Danio rerio: one gene and its partner. The protein of the gene in region 2 interacts with the protein of the main gene of each other region in a biochemical or structural test. Links are inferred from orthologs where the notes say so. Each region holds a gene or a part of one and is shown on either strand. Other genes may lie near its edges.

Region 1 (3,835 bases), on a different chromosome or scaffold from region 2:
ACATCAAGCATGCATAACAAGCTACAGCATGCTCACATTTGGATTGTGCTGCATGAGATGCGCAAATATTTCTATAGCCAATTTTCAAATCCGAAAAGTTTTAGTTTTACCATAAAGTCGTTTATGCTTTATATTTAAAAGTGTGACTGTGTAAGCCAAAAATAGTTCTGACCCAATTTCAAGTCATGTGATTTATTTTATGGAAAATGCATGAATGGAAAAGTCACGATAATAACAATTTGTTGAAAAATATATTTCCCTAAAAATAATGATGACAGAGGCAGCATGATTGGCAAAAATGTTAGGCAAACTTATTTTTGCATGTGAACAAATATGAAATAAACACAGTGGTAAGTAGATCTCATCAAGTCAAGTCCAAATATTGTATATACCAATAATTATTATATCATTGTATATACTAAAGCAAGTAAATGTGTACAGGTGTAAATAAACACAGATCACTATTTGCAGATGTGGAAAAAAGTTCCATCAAAAGTTTATTGGCCAGCACAATAGAGTCTAAGAGGCTGTGGAATCTGGAACTGTTTGTGTATAAATGTGTGTGTTTGTGATGGAGCCACAGAAGGGTCATTCATGAGCTCAACAGTATCCAGATGTGTCCGAGCAGACGCACCCTGTTCCATTGCAGCTCAAACCTACCTATTTTTTTTTTTATTCAAAACTCTCCCAGAACCAAAATATCACTGTAACTGCTGATTTTCTTAAGATAGTCCTGTGTAATGCCTAGGTGGAGGGTACCTTGGCTGCCTGTGGGGTGCAGGCTACGTGTACAGTGCTGGGTTTGACACCATTGGATTTGGGTCTTTTGAAGAGTGCAAACCTGCTCTTCCTTCTGCCGCGGTCCCCATTGGGTAGAGAGCCATTATACCTACAGATAGAGAGAGAGAGAGAGAGAGAGAGAGAGAGAGAGAGAGAGAGAGAGATTCAGCTGAAAGCACCAGGGCGCAACATATACTTCACCACCAATTCAGCTGCAGGCAACAGGTGGTGAACAAAACAGATAGATGCACTCACAAAAGCACAAGCAAACAAAAGCTGTACGGTAGATATGCAATCCCATACTTTTCCTTGGAAGAGCAAACAATCATTTTGTTTGTTGACTGGAAACAACACCTAATCCAAAACACAAAATGCCATACATTTCAAGATCCACTCTTCATAAAATGTATATATGCTGGTGAGGTGACACAACCCCCAAAACAGCTTCTACAATTACTAGACTAATAACTTCAAATATAATCTTTCGTGATAAAAATAAAGGGGTCTTTACATTTGAAATTTGCCTTGATTTCTTTTAACAACATAGAAGAACTCTTCAATTAAACATCAAGATTTTCAACATCATTATCCTTCACAATATTTCTTAAACAGGTGGTCTACTACAATATCATTTGTATCATTGTTTTAAAATTTAGTTCAAGTGCAATGTAGCTGTGTGAACAAAAGGGAGACATTGGCTTTTACAGAGTTAGCTTTGGGACTACAAAAAAATACATCCGGGTTGGTGAGATCACAAACGCTTCTGGTTAAGTGCATACGCCATGCGCATACATCCTGTGCAGCAAAGGGGCGTGCCCAGAGGCGCTGTAATATTATTGCAGACAAAGCTAAAATGCTGCCCAACCTAGGGTTGGGTTATTCCGATTCCGGTGCTAAATCGATACTTTTAAAACAGTACCGGTGCCAAAACAGTGCCTGAACCAACACTTTTAAGCCACAAAATTATGGTGGATGACTCTAGAACAGGCGTGACCAACCCTGTTCCTGGCAATCGACCTTACTGCAGATTTCAGTTGCAACCCATATCAAATACACCTGCATGTAATTATCAAGTGCTGTTCAGGTCCTAATTAATTGGTTCAGGTGTGTTTGATCAGGGTTGGAGCTAAATTTTGCAGGAAGATCGATCGCCAGAACAGGGTTGAGCCCCACCGCTCTAGAAAAATATTTTATTTGACAAAATGTTTAAAAAATATAATTTTAATAGAACAATATAATTAAACTTTAAAAGAAACATCAATTCATATTTTATATATTTGAATTATATTAATATATTTCCTTTGATCATTTGTTGGTTAGCATGAATTTAAGATTAGCATTATGAAATTACAATAGCTTACTACTAACCTGTGGAAAGGCTGTTATCAAAATACTGAACTCTTTTTTTTTCCCTAGGGTTGGGGTTAGTGACAATGTTTACATGCTTATTAGTAAACTAATGATTTGCCTTAATCTGAATAAGACAATAATATGATTAAGGTGTTTACATAAGTTGCTTTTTGAATGTTCCTTTCATGTTTTCATCTTACATGTTATAGTACTTAGATCGATTAATGTCATTGCGTCACCACGCTATCCATGTTTCCTTTAGCGTTTCATATAATTTCAGGTGTTTCATTTTTAATTTTTTGATTTGATTTGAGCATTACCTAAGGACTGGTGGAAGAGTGCTTTTTTAATGGAATTTGATAGCGCATGTTGAAGGGAAAGAAGGAAACCTTCGCATTTTACGATGCAGGTGTCTGTGGTCCTTTAAGGTAATCAAAATCACTGTTTACATGGTAGTCTAGGCTCTTAATCAGAGAATTGTCGTAATCATATTAAAATCGGAGCATTGGTGTCCATGTACGTACTCACTGGAAAGGGCCGGATGATGTTAAAAGCTTTCAGAGACATTGCATTCCTCTGCCTGTGAATTGTGAGCCACAACCTGTAAGTATTTTTATTTGATAAAATCAATCAACTACATGCACAGTTTGAAGGTTAGCGTTATGTTGTAGCAAGGATGTAAACAAGAGTACAAACAACGGGAAATGATGTTTGGCACTGCTAACAATTTAGCTGCAAATTCATATTTATCTGTCAGACTGCTGTAAACATCCATAATCTTCACCAGGGCTGCAGGGTCTCTCTATGCGGCCGCTTTCCCTGCGTTCTACATTGCAAATAACAAACTCGCAAAAGATAAGTGAATGTTTTATATTACTTTCACATATAATCGGAATAAGCATGTGTAAGACACATTTCAGAATTTTATTTTAGGGAGCAGGCTTGAGGTTTATCCTTTTTATTTTCTGTCTGATTAAGGCTTAAACTGAAACGGCTAAAAGCTACTCTGACAGACAGTATTTACACAGCAGAGCGAAAGCACGTGCTTGTGGAGGCGTGACACTTTTTCTGGTGACATAAAACTGATCCGCGAATCACAGCACATTATAATAGCTGACCTATCAGAGCCTCTTTCCAAAGAAATTAGGAAATATGACAGTCATTGTCATGTTAGCTGATTAGCTGTACATTAAGTAAAAAATACCAAAAAATAATGTGATTTTCTACAAATGAAGCATGAGCACACATTGCTTTGCATCTTATAAACACATCCAAGCCTTAAAAATACACTCTGGACTACCACTTTTTTATCCTAAAAGTGTGTGGTTAGATATAAAGTGGCATGTGACATCACAAGGACACAGTGATTTGCATACTGATTTGCCACGCCCACTGATGACATCATTCGAGAAACCATTGTTCGTATATCAGATCTGAAGAAATGGAGCTGCCATTATCACTTACGACAGAGAGAATTTTTAGAACTACAGATCCAAGCAGCATGTGAAGAACAAATCTGATCTGTGTGAAGTACACTACATAAAGCATTAAGAAATGCCACACCTGCAGTGTCTTTTGGTTTCGTCTGTGGAGGTTTCCTCTCAATCCCCCACCCACCAACTCACTCACTGCCCGAACGTCCTTCAGGAACAGCATGCAGACACAGTGACTGCAATGTGATTATGTAGTTTAAACATTATGCGGG
Region 2 (3,835 bases):
GAAGAGTGGGCTGGAGACTCATTTTTTGGGTCATGAAGAGGTGTGGTGATGTGCATAAAGAGTAATCAAAATTTCAAGCGGGGAAATCCCTTTCTGCGAGTCTGTTGAACAAACAGAAATGAATCTCAGCCAAGCTTACAAAAAGCTGATCAAGAGAAAACAGGAAAGACTTCAGATTTAAAAGCACAAGAGAAGGAAGCAAGAGCCACAGGAGCGACAGACGGACAGGCAGAGCTTCTTACTGAGAGAGTTTGTCCACTTCCGTCCTGAAACTTTCCTTCACGACATTCCAGTCCAAGTGAGAATCCTGCAACACAACAGCCACATTAAAAAAACATGCAAATCATATCACATATTTATATTAATGCCATGTCAGAAACAATAGATATTTTAATGGACAAAATGTTGAATTAATAAATATACAAAAAAAAAAACTAAAATTAAATATGATGTTTAACGTTAAATATAATAAAATTTGTGGTGACTGAACATTCATTATGGCAATATTGTTGAATGCTAACAATATTTTTAATGATATAACTAACTTACAATATGCTATTTTATCAGCAACTTAAAATGATAAAAACTTAAAAATATATTTATGTAATGATCATTATGCCAAAATAAAAATAGGTAATATTTATTTCTCTTTTCTAAAAAAAAAAAAAAAAAAAAGCATTTAGACTTCAATCACCACAAACGCCTGAAAACTTTGGTGAAAATTCCGTTTCATTTATGTCCTACATAAATGTATTTAAGTCATTGCACTTTTCTGCGATATGAATATTGCACATACTATTAGCTATAACGATATTTTTTTTTAAATATAATGTGCAGCCCTAGCTGTCAGTAAAGGTCTTGTGAAAGTAATTTTATATGTTAGTATGAATATGTTAGTTAAGCATATCTACAAGCTACTGTGCTTATTAACTTTTAGAAGAGATAAACCTGACTTAAATGTCCAAATCTTGACCAACCAAATGCTCTCCAGTATCTGACATGCCCCGCCCCCTTTAAGACGCTTTTCGTTTGCCTTTTATTTGATGCGCTTAAGCTTCAACCACTCTCATTGGCAGAGCTGTGAGAAAACCAAACACTATTGGCTGTTCTTTAAAAAAGGTGAGGAGCTACTCTATGAGATTACGTCAAACAAAAAAATGCACTATCAGAGCACATCACAAGACCTTTAAAAGCAGGACAGTCCAATAGAATGTATTCAGGGTTCCCACGCTTTCATAAACAGTAAACGAGTCATGAGACTATAGTGTTCAAAAGAAACTACAGGCGCACATGATCTCTGTTACCCTAATGAAGACAAGTGTTTGCCACAACATGTAGGTGCATTCAATAAAGCCTTTTTAATATCTTTTCCAAATTTTTCTAATGTCATGGACTTCATTTTGCTGTTTATTCTGATGAATCCCTTACTTAAAGAGCACAGGCACATAAATTAAACTACCCCTGAGCACTTTCTGCTTGATTTTGAGTAAATTCAAGGACTTTCAAGAATTTTTTTAACCATTAATTTTAAATCAAGCACTTGATAATTTATACCCCCAGCATATGTAACGCAGTGAAAGTCCTTACTGTACTTAATAACTCACACTTAATATTTACATTAAAAAATGTCTGTTTTAAAAAGTCATGTTCAAAGAATTTTAGTAAAGTCTGTTGAATTCAAAACTGTTTATATTCAAATGTGGTTTCTGAAATATTGATGTAATGTGCATTATTTGTCAGTGTTGTTGTATAAGATTTAAATTTAACATTTTTATTTTAAGAATTTCTCTTCTTTCTGTATTCGACAATTGAGTACAACTGTTCAAATAAAACCCTAATAAAATTTTATGTCAAATTTAATTCTAGCACTTTCAAAGACCTGATATGTCTGAAATTCAAGTATTATCAAGCCCTTTAAGAAGCGTGGGAAACCTGTGTGCTTTTACATTAATAGAAATTTTGCAGAACAAACACTGAGATATAAAAGAAAACAAATAAATAAACATATAAGAACAAGCAGAAAGACATTTGTTTTGTTATTTTTCTTCAAATACCTCTTTCAGCTTCTTCACCGCAAACTCAGTGTTTCTCATCACAGCTTTATACACGTGTCCAAAACCTCCTTCCCCAATCTGCTTGCATGGGGAAAAGTTGCAGGTGCCTCTCTGTATTTCCTCAAACGGCCAGCTCATTGCAGAGGAGGAGAGAGGCGGGGGATCTACACGGTTCTCGCACGGCCACTATGAACACATGCGTCAGTGGATTAAGAAACCAAAAAGAAGAAAAACACGAAGAGTAATGCTGACTAATGCCTCTCCAGCACAATGGTAACACAGTCAATGCTGAAACCTATCAAGCCTTTTTATTATGCTGATTTTACTGAACACTGTTTACACCTTTCAGTTTAAAAAAAGGGGGATTTTCAGATCTTCATTTTTGGATTTTTTGGTGTTTTTTCAGTTTAATATTTAAAAAAAAAACATATATATATATATATATATATATATATATATATATATATATATATATATATATATATATATATATATATATATATATATATATATATATATATATATATGTATCGTTTGCATCACTTTATAGATGTGTTTTTGATATAAAACGTGTTATTTCCTGTAAAGTGATGCTTATTTCCACTTCAGGACACTTAAAACGTTACATTTTATTCATATCTATTTTTTTACCCAATCTGTTTTTTCTTTGGCATTGATCATAATCTCGACTTCAGCAGAAAAACTTTAAAGTTTTATTCGTATCCAAGTTCTCAAATAAATTTAAATCAAGTTGTTGTTGTTGTTTTTTTACAATTTGGTCATGTACAATTTGTCTGATTATATACATTTTATTTTACCAACAAAAGGTTATTTTGTAGAATTTATGAAGTGATATAAAGATACTCAAAATCCCCTCTGTAAAAACCTACTACACTACCTGATAAAAATTTTGTCGCCTATTCAAGTTTTAGGAACAACAAATAATAGCTTGACTTCTAGTTGATTATTTGGTATCAGAAGTGGCTGGTAACACTTTACAATAAGGTTTATTAGTTAATGCATTTACTAACATGAACTAATCGTGAAAAACACATGTACAGCATTTATTAATCATAAATGAACATTTACTAATGCATTATTAACATTCAGGTCCATGCTTGTTAACATTAGTTAATGTACAATGAGTTAACATGAATTAACAATGAACTACTGTATTTTCATTAACTAACGTTAACTAACATGAACAAATACAGCAGTAAATGTATTGTTCATTGTTTGTTCATGTTAGTAAATGCATTAATTAACATTAACTAATGAACCTTATTGTAAAGTGTGACCAAGTGGCTTATATGAAAGGCAAAGGCTTCTAGATTATGCTTATTTTATTAAAATAAATTATGATAACGCCTTGGTTTTGAATTATTTAATTAGGACAGTAAAGTCTGACTTTGCTTAGACAAAAGTCTTGTCACTTAACAGAAATAATGTTGTAAAATATAAAGTCATGGTGCAGTGGCAAATTAATATTGTGTCTGACTCCCATGAGCTTAGAAGACTGCATCCATACATCTCTGCAATGACTCTAATAACATATTACTTAAGTTATCTGGAATGACAAAGAAAGCGTTCTTGCAGGACTCCCAGAGTTCATCAAGAATCTTTGGATTCATCTTCAGTGCCGCCTCCTTCATCTAACCCCAGACATGCTCAATAATGTTCATGTCTGGTGACTGGGCTGGCCAATACTTGAGCACCTTGACCTTTGCTTTCAGGAACTTTGATGTGGAGGCTGAAGTATGAGAAGGAGCGCTATCCTGTTG

What was found.
Region 1: of the proteins of irak1 (region 2) and peli1b, one has a biochemical effect on the other in vitro, tested with the Homo sapiens proteins (5 studies listed by BioGRID and IntAct, with this or other methods). The link is inferred for Danio rerio from reciprocal best matches to the Homo sapiens genes IRAK1 and PELI1.

What each region holds. Positions count from the first base shown.
Region 1 is NC_133192.1:25,813,478-25,817,312, forward strand, and holds part of peli1b (E3 ubiquitin-protein ligase pellino homolog 1b), read right to left. Parts: intron 890-3,835; coding exon 760-889; intron 1-759. UniProt on the Homo sapiens protein: E3 ubiquitin ligase catalyzing the covalent attachment of ubiquitin moieties onto substrate proteins. Involved in the TLR and IL-1 signaling pathways via interaction with the complex containing IRAK kinases and TRAF6.
Region 2 is NC_133183.1:9,125,333-9,129,167, forward strand, and holds part of irak1 (interleukin-1 receptor-associated kinase 1), read right to left. Parts: intron 2,241-3,835; coding exon 2,055-2,240; intron 308-2,054; coding exon 243-307; intron 102-242; exon of another isoform or gene 57-101; coding exon of another isoform or gene 1-56.